Mytilus edulis: one gene and its partner. The protein of the gene in region 1 binds, or shares a complex with, the protein of each later gene. Links are inferred from orthologs where the notes say so. Each region holds a gene or a part of one and is shown on either strand. Other genes may lie near its edges.

Evidence for each region. The genes of interacting proteins can lie anywhere in the genome.
Region 2: the proteins of cell cycle checkpoint protein RAD1-like (region 1) and checkpoint protein HUS1-like are in contact, whole or in part, in a crystal structure (PDB 8GNN), measured with the Homo sapiens proteins. The link is inferred for Mytilus edulis from reciprocal best matches to the Homo sapiens genes RAD1 and HUS1. Residues at the interface, in NP_002844.1 of Homo sapiens: Asn85, Val88, Asp91, Cys92, Ser94, Ile95, Phe96, Gly97, Ser98, Gly127, Val128, Val129, Thr130, Val131, Cys132, Lys133, Ile134, Asn135, Gln137; in NP_004498.1 of Homo sapiens: Thr165, Ser168, Val169, Lys172, Met173, Asn175, Ile176, Glu197, Leu198, Val199, Cys200, Val201, Thr202, Thr203, His204, Phe205, Lys206.

Annotation. Positions count from the first base shown.
Region 1 is NC_092349.1:72,360,001-72,367,756, forward strand, and holds the start of cell cycle checkpoint protein RAD1-like, read left to right. Parts: upstream 1-4,737; 5' UTR 4,738-4,821; coding exon 4,822-4,932; intron 4,933-7,756. UniProt on the Homo sapiens protein: Component of the 9-1-1 cell-cycle checkpoint response complex that plays a major role in DNA repair. The 9-1-1 complex is recruited to DNA lesion upon damage by the RAD17-replication factor C (RFC) clamp loader complex.
Region 2 is NC_092345.1:33,788,561-33,795,848, reverse strand, and holds the start of checkpoint protein HUS1-like, read right to left. Parts: upstream 3,018-7,288; 5' UTR 2,957-3,017; coding exon 2,905-2,956; intron 1,284-2,904; coding exon 1,156-1,283; intron 203-1,155; coding exon 26-202; intron 1-25. Other genes in the region: IQ calmodulin-binding motif-containing protein 1-like, read left to right, coding at 3,140-3,248, 4,746-4,908, 5,427-5,565, 6,984-7,083. UniProt on the Homo sapiens protein: Component of the 9-1-1 cell-cycle checkpoint response complex that plays a major role in DNA repair. The 9-1-1 complex is recruited to DNA lesion upon damage by the RAD17-replication factor C (RFC) clamp loader complex.

The DNA of each region.
Region 1 (7,756 bases):
TCAAAACAGGAACGGACCGGACGGCGGTTGTTCTACCACCGCAGGCACGGGCGGCGGCGGCAGCTGTTCTACCACCGCAGACACGGGCGGCGGCGGCGGCGGGGCGGCGGGGCGGCGGCGGTATTGTTCAAAACTTTATAAGAAGGAGAGAACACGGGCTTCATCTAATCATGGACGAGTTTTATTTATTCGTCAATAGCGGAGACTCGCTCGATCTCTTTCCCGAGAATAGGGGAGGTCAGTTCTCAGTACGTTTACCTCGATCACACTTAACGAATGGAACGTGGGAGTGTGCCCTATTGGAAATGACGTTCGTGCCTACTTTCGAAATACCCACGCGCAGGGTCTACCTATGTTCCGACGTGGTGAGGGAAGAATCGTACGTCAGAGACACGTATTTACCACTACTTCAATCCGTAGCAGTGCGACGGGACGAGACGATGGAAGTCGTCTTCGAGAGACCACTCTACCGCACGACGAGAGGAGGCGAGGTGACACTATTGGAAATCACCGTCAGAGACGATAGATTACGAGTGTGCCGATTCAAGGACGATCACGTATTCTGCTTGCTGCATTTTAGAAAAAAGTTATAAGAGGATAGCGGATTCGATTTCGAAGTACATGTATAAACATGGAATGTCCTACCTGCCATAGACGGTTTTCCAGGAGAGATGTCATGTTGAGACATTATCGCAATCAGCATGGTAATGGGGATACGCCGCCGCCGCCGCCGCCCGTGTCTGCGGTGGTAGAACAGCCGCCGCCCGTGCCTGCGGTGGTAGAACAACCGCCGTCCGGTCCGTTCCTGTTTCGACACCCGTTTACTATGATCGTTTCGGGTCCGACGTCTTGCGGCAAGACGCATTTCGTGGCGAAAGTCCTCCGAGAAGCGGAAGCGATGTGCGAACCGGCACCGCAGAGAATCGTCTGGCTGTACAAGAGGTGGCAACCCCTCTACGACGTCGTACGAGACGGCGTGCACCCGCCGGTGGAGTTTGTGAGAGGCATCCCCGCCGACCTGGAGAGCGACGACTTCTTCGATCCGAGAGTGCGCAACATGGTGGTCCTGGACGATCTGATGACCCTCGCCAGCAAAGACACCCGCATCAACGATCTCTTCACCGAAGGAAGTCACCATCGAAATCTTTCCGTGATCGCCATCTACCAGAACCTGTATTTTGGAAAGGACCCCACACAGAGAAGAAACTGTCATTACATGGTCCTCTTTGACAATCCGATCGATCGACAGCCCGTGGCCACCCTGGCACGACAGATGTACCCGGGTCGATCCGAACATTTCCTGCGACAATTCGACGAGGCCACGAGAAGACGACACGGTTATCTCCTTGTCGACGTCAAACCGGAGACCCCCGAGACGGAGAGACTGCGCACGAACGTCCTGACGGGGGCGGGAGAGGAGGAGGAGACGACCCAAACGGAAGAAACGACCACGAACGATCTGATCGCCTGCGAAGAATGCGGACTGGTCTTTGTACACCGCCGCGGACTGGAGGAGCATGCGTGCAGCAGGGAGGAGGAGGAAAGGATCTCCAAGGCGAGGAGGCTCGACAGCAGCGAGGATACCTCCGAATACGACACGGACGAAGACATACTTCCCATGAGCGACGCAGAACTAGAAGAAGCGTTGGAAGGGTTACCGGTGGACGTACGTTGTGCCGAAGAGTTACCCGCAGACATCTCGCACCGACCGATGACCTATGTCGTCAACACGGATACCTGCGATGGACCGGGGAAGCATTGGGTGGCGTTTCACTTTCCATCCACGGGACCGGCAGAATTCTTCGATTCACTCGGACGTTCTCCGGAGTATTATCATCGCGCTTCAGGAACGTGCTCATCGCCAATGGACCTCAATACAGATTCAGTACGACTCAAGTGCAACCGGGATCATCCGATACGTGCGGACTCTATTGTGTACATTTCGTGAAGATGAGATATAGAAACATTAGCATGGAAGACATTGTGAAAGATTTTTCCCCTAGTGACTTGATGAGTAACGACGACAAACTGCTTGCATTGTACGAATGAATGTAGTAAATGTATATGAAACTGACATCTGCGTTGGTATTTTTTTTTCTATTTGCCCCGAACACGATACGATTAATCGGTGATTGACGTTCACACCTTGAAGAGTTGCCTCCCTTTTTTGTACCAGAGTTCTTCGATATGATCATGTGACCTTGCCTCGAACGTTGAATTGTCAATCCAAGAGAGAGAGATATATATACAGAGTTGCTTCCCTTGTTTTGTACCAGAGTTAACGTTCCTCGATACGATCACGTGACCTGTTGTCCATATATGGACATGTGTTTTATTTTGATGTTTGAGTGAAAATAAAGTTTTTACCAAATTTGGTCATAATTTCCATATATGGTCATAGGGTATCTGGTCGGTTTCCATATATGATCGTGTATTTTATTTTGATTTTTGAGTGAAAATAAGTTTTTTTACCAAATTTGGTCATGATTTCCATATATGGTCATAGGTTGTTTTGTCGATTTCCATATATGATCATGTATTTTATTTCGATTTTTGAGTGAAAATAAGTTTTTTTACCAAATTTGGTCATAATTTCCATATATGGTCATAGGGTATTGTGGTCGCTTTCCATATATGGGATTCATCATATGGTGGTCCAAGAGTCATAATCCGACATCAGGTGCTTCCGTTTTGATATATAGCCCGTATTATCATGTAGTGAGTCATGCCCTGATCTTGCATCCTGATGATTCATGGTCGCACCGCGTCATGACCAAATATGGACGGCGTGCATTCGGTATGACTCATCTTCCTTACTTACACTGACGTCATTAGGGCTAGTATATGCCCATATATCATATTGGGGGCGGGGCATGCGCATATGACGTCAGCGCCCTAGCGCCCTGTGTTTTGGGGGTGCCTAAAACTGAACCGTCCCTACTACTCACAGGACATAAAGTCACAAATTTGGTAGGACAAAAAGTCACAAATAATTTGTTGACAATTGTTTGAATATATAATAGAAATATCTTGAAATATTTACTTTTTAATACATATATTCAAATTAAAGTTTAGGAATTGTGTCATTATGCTTGAAAAATCAAGATTCATTTAATTTTAATCATGCAAATGATATATTTTTTGGCACCATGAAGCCATTTAAGTGCCAAGTCACTTTGACATTTTGTTTTTTTTTAACAATTATTTGATTATCTTTGATATATTTTTGATTAATTTTGTTTACAAAGTTGGTATATATATACAACAGTTCAAGAAAAATACAAAAATATTTTTGTAGAAATAAGCTTTTTTTCTTTAAAGAAAATAATCAGAAAAAATGAATTGTGACTTTTTGTCCGGTGACTTTTTGTCCGTGACTTTTTGTCTGTGACTTTCTGTCCTACATTCCGCCACAGTAATCCCTACGTGTGACTTCCGTTAACTAACGAAATTAAGTAGGAACACGGAGTTATAATTTCATTATACATGTAATATCTTCAATAGAATACTTCCATGCTCACACTAAGCAGAACATTCTTACAATGATGCCAAGGTTATATAATTTGTCTCTATATTTGCAAATTAGTACAGTTGCACATATCCCAATGACAGTAACATATATTTACCATACCTTATAATGTTATAATCACAAAAGCGCTTAGACTTATGCATGCACAGACTTTTTTGAAGAGATATCTGAATGCTAATCGTAAAAAAAACCTAGCCAACTTAAGATAATATAAAAAACAGCTATATCAAAACATTCAAAATCAGAACACTGTTATTTCAGTATTAATAGTTTTCCCTCCTCTTTGTTTTTTATAAAAAAAACACCATTTGAACTCCCAGGGGTGGATCCAGCCATTTTAAAAAGGGGGTGGGTTCCCAACCCATGATAAAGGGGGGTCCAACTATACGTCCCCATTCAAATGCATTGATCGTCCAAAAAAGGGGGGGTTCCAACCCCCAGGACCCCCCTCTGGATCCTCCACTGACTACCTTATAACACAATACTCAAAAGATGAAACCAAACAACATGCACAATTACAAGGATAAATATATCCAAATATTTTCAAGTATTCGCATAGAAAAAAATAAACCCTGCCCGCCGGTATAACGTTCTAGTGTAGTCTTCTATATATACGCCGTATGATTGGGTGAACCAAAAAAATGGAGTGGAGAAGGTTTGTAACGTAAATCAATAGGTTAAACTGTTTCAAAAGATCGTACGAAATTTTAAAGGATTGATATACCGGGGCGGACCCAGCAATTTTGAAAGGGAGTTCCCTTCTCAGGACAAGAAGAGGGGGGGGGGGGTATAGTTTCCATTGATCGTCAAAAAATTGGGTCACAACTCCCGGAATCCCCCTCCTGGATCTGTCACTGTATGGACAAGCGGTGTATAGAAGCAGAGACGTATGAGACATATAATACATGTATTAATTATATATGTCTCTGATTGAAGACTTTAGAAATTAGAATAAATTTAAAAGTATAATTTGTACAACTATATCCCGTATTCTGAGATGACTATATACTGTGTTACATGTATATATAGTAGTCTCAGTCCTATTCAAACATTTTTTAACAACTTTTTCCCTTTTTAACAAAATTACTCGTCTAATTATGTGTTCTTGTTTATCAACATAGAATTCCAGTCTATTTTCTTAAAATAAAGGGTTTTGTGATCAGGTGATCAAATCTTTCCTTTACTCGCAAATTTTACACTCTCCTTGAATGAAGGAAAATAAATTCAATTGAAAATGGCGGGGAAAACAAAAAAATGATTTTTCTGACAATTTTAACCAAATTTATCTGACTATGGCACTTTCAACGCAACAGCCTGAAAATGATGATAGATATGTACTTTTAGCTAAAATAGACAATGCGAGAAATGTATCGAACATTCTGAAAGCCATTCATTTTAAAGAGGTAAATGAGAGATCAAAGTTAACTGTGAAACACAAACAACACACAGTCACAGATAGTCACTTCGGCATGTGGTCAAATCCGTCGGTTTAAGCTCATTAGAGCTTATTTTATGTCCTATCAAATTTTCGACTTTCTGCCTGTGACTTTCTGTCTGTTTAGTAGTAGTGTTTACTTAATGAAAGTCCCTGGTGCTACATTGACTATACATGTAAATGTAGCCTTTTGTAGGTGCTGATTTGACCAGGTGTCGATTTGACTTTTCATTAGCCATTAGGTGCTGAATAAACGTATTTACACTTTGGGTACTCAGCTGTAAAATTTGTGCTCAATTGACCTTAGATCTACTCTGAATCAATGTAAAGAAGTAACATCAAACATTTAATCGGTACTATTCTCAGGGAAAATATACTACTTCATATTTTCTTTACACAACAAACTCATTGGAAAATAGTAAAATTTCCCCTCAAATCGGTTAAATGTGTGATGTAACTTCTTTATGTTGCTCTTAATCATGTTTAAAATTGACTGAGTACCAAGATGTCGAAAAATAATATAAACTGGAGTCAAAAGTCGGTAATATAAAAATAGTCTATTAACATTGAGAAATCCATCAGTTGTGTGGCCACTGAACATAAAGGAAGCTCAGAAATCTTTCCCATTTTTAAAAATAAAGTATAAAGAATATCATGAACATGATGAATATTGTTGGAATGTTAAAAAAAATTTTCTTTTTCTGAGACATTTATATACCTTTAATACCAATTTATACATGTTATAAGTTGAAAGTGTCTAGCAACTCATGTTAGTTGTTGATATGCTTACAGTCACACAGTGGCATTAAAAATGTTTTAATAAAAATTAATTTTAAATCTGTTCCTTTACATCAGTGATTATTGATAATTACAACAATACACATTACAGTGTACATGTAAATGTATATGGACCATAATTTGGTATTCGGCCTTTGGTTTCTTTTTGTATCCTTTTTTATAAGTTCTAAAACTTTAACTTTTATTCTGTGGGTTGTGTTGGTGTTAGAATAGTATTAATGGAACAATTGAGTTTTTCAAGAAAAAAATAATACATTTTGATTCACCGTTTACGTGACAGGAAACCAAACAGGAAACCAATCTTTATTTTCTTTATTTTGCACAATATATTTCAAAAGACATAAATGAACACCATTAATAGTGTTACTTGCTTCATGTTAATATTTGAAATCTATTTTCAATGTTAAATTAAAGTTTTTTTAAACGCGACAGGAACAATGAGGAAACCAAAAGAAACCGAAAGCATTTCTTTAGTTTTATTTTATTGCAAAATCTGCTTAAAATAATCTGAACAGTAAACTTTTTCTTAAAATCCATCTTAAATGTAACAGTATTATAAAACTCCTAAATATGTGCTTGTTTTGAAAACAATTAGTACAATTTATTCAGAAATTTCCATATTTTCTTCATTGATACAGGATACCATAATCGTTGTATCTTGATGTTTTAGCCAAAAAAATGTATTTATATTTGGTTTTGAAATTCCAGTTATATACAATTAATTCCAAATCATTGGCAATGTAAAATTCTTTAAATCCAGTAAAGAAAAAAACTCTAACTTGGAATTAAAATCTTTAAAATAGGCACCATGTGATATTTGTGACCTGTACACCATCTACATGGTTTCCACATTTTAACCTACTTTAGTGGGCTAAAATCAATAAAGTACTTCCTTTCAAGTCATGCATGGTAAAAGTTTACTTCTCCTTTGACAAGTTTATTGCGTTTCTGAAAAGTGTTTGCAGAACATGAATAAAAAAAAATAATTAAAAATTGTGACAAAGATACCAACTTTGTACATTCCAAGTGTAACGGTATATTAACATGTATTTTTTATTAAATTATCTTTATTCACCTAAAATATCCATTAATATTTACTGCTGAAACAAAATCAATCTAACGAGCATCGGCACAATGATAAGAGACGTAATGTCTATTGAATTTTCAAAGGACCCTTTACATCGTTATCAGGAAACAAAGTGTGTTATAATGTCTGTCAAATCTGAAATCGATTTTGTCAAGTCATTGGGCATTTATTTTCACACAATATCGTATGTAACATTATGCACATAGGAAAAATAATAGACCCCCGGCGCAATCTCTTTGAAAATTGTATTTTCCTTTTTTAAACAAGACGAAACAAGTCTACAGATTATGTTTGCTAACATCCCGTTGGAAACAAAAACAATGTTTAGACCTAGTATTTCATACATCCGGCCGTAAGGGCGTGATCACATGTAAGTCACATGTTTCACGTATGACCGGAAATGATTAGAACTTAACGACAAAAACAATTTTAATAAAAAAAGGAAATAACTGGACTTCTGTTTCGTTTGAAATGTAACGCATAACGATAACGACATTTTCTTACTTAATTATTACGAAGAACAAAACTAGAATGTAAATCATCTCTGATTTACCTGTTTGAACATCTCGCGAGAGTTCATATTTGGCTACATATCTGCTCTGTGCCCATTTTGCTGTGACAACCATTGAAAATTAAAAACTAAGCCAAAAACATCAGTATCAGTCATTTTTTAATAGCTATGGGTTGTATTTATTCAAAAAATATCATCCATGGATAAGATAATGTCTCATCATTAATTTCTGCATAGTTCAATAGGTCTTGCACGTTATTTAATGTAACATGGACAGACATGTTCTTATTCAAGGTTCCAAAGAGTTTTATTAATTTAAAGTGAGTAATTGTGAACTGTTATCATGTAAGAGCAATGTGTCATTCATAAAAAAAATCATAAACCATTCAAAACAGT
Region 2 (7,288 bases), on another chromosome or scaffold:
ACTTTTTTGTCTTTTGTCCACCTACCTGATCAATTTCAAAAGTAAGACAAGGGACATGTTTTTTTGTCAATTTAATCTTGATCCACTTGGCATTGCTAGCTGTTTTTAGAGCTTTAACAATATTATCTGGAGCAACCTCTAAGTAAATCTCATTAGCCTCCTTAGAAACTCCTTCCATTGCATATTCATCAAAGAAATGACCCTGAGGAAATAAATAAATAAATAAGTAATTATTTGTAAGGACACTGGCAACAATATTAGGTAATACATTTTTAAAAGACATAGTACATTTCGACCCTTAAAATAGAGTTTCAATAAAAAAACAATTACCATTCAGAATTGGCTTTGCTCATTGTTGAAGGCAATAAGGTGAACCATAGTTGGTCACTTGATGGTTGTCTCATTAGCAGTCATGCCACATCCGCTTAACTTCTTATATAAAACTTGATATTTTACTTGACTTATATTGTATCAACTTAAACAAACTAAATTGAATTGTAATACAATGATGAAGCCACTGTACTGTCTAATTAATGTAATGTTTACCCAACAACAGTTTGCATTCATATCAATATCACTATAATTTTTAAACTTAACATGCTCAAAAGGGTCTCGGAAATGCAAATATGACATGTATAAAGAGCTTGGACTTGACAAAAAAAAAACTTACATCATTTTCAATTTTTGCAGATTTTAGCAAAATGTAGACTTATGTCAATGTATGTTAGGAATATGTTGGATAAAAGAGCATTGAGCAAAAGCTCAAATTTTAGTGTCAATGTCATAATTATCTGAACCAACAATACCTCTTCTCTTGGAATAACTCTTTAAATACAGTTGTGCTCCACATTTTTTTTTTTATAGCATGAGAGTTTAAAACAGTACAGATTTTGTTTAATTTTGCCATTTTATTATGTTTACAGAAGTGTCTGCCATTTATACTGTAAAACCTACTTGAAGGAAGCACAATGTATGTAAACCTTTAATGGAATACTCAATGTTATGATAGAATATGCTTTTACTACATTTTATGATGTTTAATCTGGTCTGAACTTATTTTGAAATAGTTTGAAAATACATTTTGTAATTGCACTTCATTTAATGTTCAGAAAAAAATAGCTTTTCACCACCTAAATATACTGGTAGAAATTTTACCTGAGGTAGTTCACACCAGATCTGGATTCCTCCATTAGCCAACTTTTCAGCAAGTATAAAATACCAGTTACCAGGGGTTATTCTCAAGACACAACTTTTAATTAGTTTTGAGAGAGTTCCTATTACTCCTGAAAATTAAAATGTTTCATACTAAAATAATGATCATGATGATAATAAATAATAATCACATCTACATGTATGCTTCTAAGAAATTGTGAATAAACTGCATTTACACAAAAGGTTTCATAGAATTTCCAAACAATGTGTATTTTAACAAACAACCTGCAGTCCCATGGGAACCAACTGTGCACCTCTTCACGCTGAATTGTAATTTTATTCATCATGTTCATATAATGCTGACTTCAAACAGAAACTTCTAACACAGAAAGAAAGAAGTTTATAATAGCAGTATCCTTAACTTTTCTTTACACTATATAGATGTTGTTCTCTCATGGATCATTGAATGACATTTATTGATATTATTAGAAATTATTAAGATAATAGTGATTGCGTATTTTACAAATGTCCATTTCCATATTGTGTAATTTATTTACCATGACTTGACAATAAAATTTGCTATCATTCGGTAGTGTCAAGTCCCGTCAAAATATATGTTCCTGGTTTGACATTTGTCAAGTTGTACATATTGTAGTGTTGTTAATGTCCCAAATATAGAAACAGAAAACACGTCAAAATGTATTATTTTTGTGACGGGATTGATTCCCTTGGTAAATGAGGTTGAAACTCAAGTCAGCGTAAGTGGTTGAGCTCAGGAAGTACTTCTTTAGGTCATTCAGTATAGGCGTGGTCTTGTTACACTTATAATCGGACGAAGTCCCCTATAACAGTAGAATAATCAATAAAAAAAAAAAAGAAAAAAAAGGGAAAATCTCGCGAAATTTTTACTATACTACAAATGTACTCATGAACTTAAAATCTTTAATTTTTTTTGTCACTTTTTTTAATTCCCCCATTTGCGCAGAACGCAGAAATCTACTTCCTTCTTCCAGTCTTGTTGTCATGTGACTTTGAGTAGTCTAGTAAAATATAGGAACTCAAGGAACACAATACCAATGTCTTTGATATGAATAAACGTTAACTGATGATCACGTTTCGTTGTTTACATTAAACGTGACGTCATAACTTAAATAACGTCACAAGTAAAATCCCTAACAACAGAACCAAAATCGGAAACGTTACGGTATTTCCATTTCTTTTTAACAGATTTTGAAGTAATAAAAAAAAAAATAATTCATACAGACTTCATATAGGTAATGCCTGCCTCATATTAGGCGAGGAATAAACAGTTACAGAGGTGATTGTTAAGAGTCCCAGGGAAATTAATGCTTTTTGGTATTCAATGGTATTAGTAGTAATCAATCCTGTGAAATTGAAACTGATGAAATATGAATAATACCAAACCATATATGACGCATAAAAACATATGATGTACTTATACATATGACACGATGATAACAAAACAATATACCTATATTCAGCTCACAGGCACTAGTTTCTATCCATGGGAAGACCTAGTCCAAATAATTATGACGTCTTGAGTAAGGCGTCAAAGAAAAAATTATAATAGCCTTTCAAGATTTTAAGACTAGGGAAGACCCACTATTTATTTACGAGTTGTCTTCCCATTGATAGAAACAAGTGCCTGTGATTCAGCTGCACATTTGGTGCCATATATAGGATATGTTATTTAAATCTTGATTGAATAAAAAAATATGCAAATGGACTTGCTCGTGAAATGGTGAATACATCCTATATCAACGATTTTCCCTCTAAACTTCATTTTGCTATGTTTAACTAGAACTGTGACATATTTCCCGCCATTCTTACTTTCGTTTTGATGCTTACCGAGTTTGTTTTTATTTTAGACAGCTAGATTTTAAACGTAATGCTGATTCAGTCGCAAGCGCCAAAATGACCATGTAAACAAAATTTTGTGTGGCAAGTTTCAACTTATATTTTTAAAATGTCAAGACAGCCGAGTCCTACCAGAGATAAACGTGTTATCAATTTAGCATCTGAGGTAGCAGAGACACGAGACAGACGTATCCCAATTTTGCTTCTGAGGCTGAAAGGTTATTATAGTCATTCAATTTTGATTTGAACAAGACCAGTCATGCTCAAATATATTACACAAAGATTTAAACCTACATATAGATATAAAAAAAAAATCATTATCATAATCTTCCTCGAAATGAAGATAAATATTAATGTTATTGACTGGGAAATAAGAATATAAAAAGACTATCCTTACTTCATTTTTTTTTGTACTTACATGTATCTGCTTATGATCTGTCTCAGTGTCCATATCTGTACTTGTGTATATGGAAACAAGACATTTCCACCATGGACCCAGTTCACAATTGGTCGATTCCAGTTTAAACGTTTCAGCCATGTACCAATTCTGGCATATGTAAAAATAGTCCGAGATTACTCTGATGTCCAACGGCTGTTTTGCCAGACAAGCTGGGGCCGTGGGACGTCAGAGCTGGTCCCATATCAAAAAGTGGATATTTGCCCACTCAAAATAGATGCGCTGCTTCGTCGCTTCTGATGCCGACTGACGGCCTTGGAATTATATAAATCGGACATCAATCTGTTCATTTTTCATTTATCTCTTCATTTATGTAAGTTTCACCTACCTGCCAACCTTTATTTTTCCATATTTTAACAGTTTTCACAGTGACCCATCGATTTCGGCATTTTGCCTCTCATGTTCAAAGATAATCACGTGACCACGAGAAAACAGTGATGATTTATGCAAATGACCATAATTAATGTAACACCTCTTCAATTACGATGCAAGTTATCTAAATATCCGAGAGCTTCCGATTGTAACATGGTCGGAACTAAATGCGTCATACCGATCTCCTGTAAAGGAGGTGAAAAATCGTGGTTGGCTACTAATGTTAAACATCGATATTTGCATATTTTGAGTCTCGAGACCACGAACTCTCTCATAACTTGACGTCCATTTGAAAGTGAAAGTCAAAATGCCGAAATCGATGGGTCACTGTGAAAACTGTTAAAATATGGAAAAATAAAGGTTGGCAGGTAGGTGAAACTTACATAAATGAAGAGATAAATGAAAAATGAACAGATTGATGTCCGATTTATATAATTCCAAGGCCGTCAGTCGGCATCAGAAGCGACGAAGCAGCGCATCTATTTTTGGTGGGCAAATATCCACTTTTTGATATGGGACGAGCTCTGACGTCCCACGGCCCCAGCTTGTCTGGCAAAACAGCCGTTGGACGTCAGAGTAATCTCGGACTAGTATAAAAAAAGTAGTTTCAGCCATGATTTCATTTTATACTTATACACTGTCTTACACCATAAACAATCATTGTATACATGTACATGTAAATAGAACAATTTGTGTTCTACACATTGGAAACGTTTGGCCCCTTTTTGGCAATAAGTCCTTTTGGCCTTGTCATTTTGGTCCATCATACAAATATGTTTTTCCCCCTAAAAGGTGGCCAAACATCTCAAAAGTGTAGAACACAAAATTAGCTAAAAATTAACATTTTATCATGTATATGTGTATATTTCAAATTTTATTTTATTAGAAATCCTCAGCACAGCTGTAGCTGGAAGCAAAGATGGTATGAGAATTAGGAAAGAAATATGGGAATACAATCTGTTGCAAGCCCTGGTTTTAGTTTTGAAACAAGACTTTTCCATTGTGGATGGAGAATGGCAAATTGCCGCTTCACTGGCTGCTATACTCAGGTATTAATCATTGTTAACTTTATGTAATGAATTCCATCAACTGTTTTCTGATAAAATTGAAAATGGAAATTTGGAAAGTGTTGAAGAGGTAAAAACCTGACCTAAGAGCAGAAAACAGCCCAAGGCCACCAATGAGTCTTCAGTGCAGCAGGAAAATCTATCATCTGGTCCCAGAGTTGTTAATCAAATATATATGTCATTTGGTCTCGGGTAGAGTGTTTTATCATTTGCAATCATACCATATCTTCTTATTTTTATATGAGTCACATGCGTACAAATTATGCTTTAGTTTATAGTAACTAAGGCTTATTTCATTACATATATGATAAATAAATATAAACAAAAAACAACATTTACCCTTGTCACATATTGAGCTAGCTGTTCAGTGTAGTTATATGTACTAATATTGGTGTCAGATTTACTGTTCTGAAGTTTACTTTTATCAAGGAATAGATAATGTTTAAGCAATTTTCTAAATTTAATTTATAATTCACTTTTTCATAATTAACCATTTTTAGTCAAGTGTGTGCAGGCCTAGATCTTCCTAGTGCAGAAGTAAAGAAGTTTGAGGATGAGGTGCTACTTGAAGCTGTCAGCAATATGTTCTTAGTGACCAGGCGTATACAAGCAAGATATGCCAAGATTCCAGACAGAGCTGTAAGTATTGCATCTACGCTAGCCAAGGGTTACGATCCACTCCCTTTCTCTTCACCCTTGGCGGATTGAGCCAACATTTGTGAAAACAATGTTGTGCCATCTATCGGATGATTAAAGTCATTCCCATTCCGAATACATTATTCTTGACCAATGGTAGCACTTGAACTCTTCAATTTGGAGGTAAAAACACGGTAGCGTGTAGATTCTACTCACTTGATAAAGCCAGAAACAATAATATACGTCAACATTCATTCATTTGTGCATGAAACATACACATGAACTTAATCTACAAATTGATTAAAAACATTCAAGTTGTCACTAAATATAGTCGTATGTTTATAGAATGTAAAGACTTGTTGCACAATAAACACGTGGCAATTGTTTACAAACACTATCTACATTTACACGTGATCATGTTATAGGCGCTTTTTCCACTGCAACCAATAAAAATCCTTACCTTGTGTCTCTGAAATTTTATCTCAATCCGCCAAGGGTGAAGAGAAAGGGAGTGGATCGTAACCCTTGGCTAGCGAAGATGTAAGTATTATAAATTCTGAAATTATTGTGTGCATTTATTATTGTGATTTTATTATTTTATACTTACCGGTAAATGCAATTTTAATTTTTAAGATATTGAGAAAAATCCTGTTTAATTCATATAAAATATTTCAAAATGCAAGTTTTAATTATTGCGTTTACAACTATGTCACATTTTTTGCAATAATACAAACCCCTCAATAATTTCTGAATTTTCAGTAACATATTCTTATTGAACAATCATAATTCAGGGTTCTCACTAAGGCAAGTTCATGAGTCCTCGACTCATGAAAATCTGTCTGGACTCACCATTTTCAAAACTGGTGAGTCCAAAAATGCATCAAGAATGAAATATTTTGTTTAAACTGTACACATACATGTATATCATCATTATATAGCAAAAGTTTAAAAGTAATCTGAAATGAATGTCATTGAATTGCTCTATCAGGTCATATAGCAATATCCTCATGTTACTGTTGGACTTTTCAAGGGAAAATTGACAAGTCCCTTGAATTGCCTTAAAAAAATCTTAGTGAGAACCCTGTCATATGTAAACCAAATGAATTATTTGTTCTTAGTGACCAATCATATACAAGTAAGATATGTCAAGATTCCAGACAGAGCTGTGAGTATATCCTAAGTGACCCCAGATAAATGGTAGATCTGATAAATTAAACGTCATGGTTACTAGCTATAGTTGCATACTGGTTCGATAGATATTTTTCATGGCAACTTATATTTAATTTGGAATACAAGACATATAATACTTGGTGAGCAGACTGTACTTTTTTTTAATAGTTACAAATGTATGATTATGATAAATGGTAGAGATTTGCTGTTCTTGAAGTGGAATCTTAAGACTCCTTTTTTTATATTTGTAGGGTCACATGAAGGAAAGAAATAAATTACTTGCATGTTACAGAGGTGTATTGGAATCTATTGTATATTTAGCCTCAGGTCACACGAGTGTGCCAAAAAAAGGTAAATCTAAGAACTTAAGGAAATAAGATTGAGTGTATAGTCATATTAAACAATATTGAATTTGAATGCAGTAAGATCGAACGTTTTCTGTTCAATTAGACTTTAATGGACATTTTTTTTCTAATGCAATCCTTATGTAACAGTTTTTTCATTGGCTGAACTTTACTGTCAAATTCACAATGGGCCTCTTTACGGTAAGTTCAGC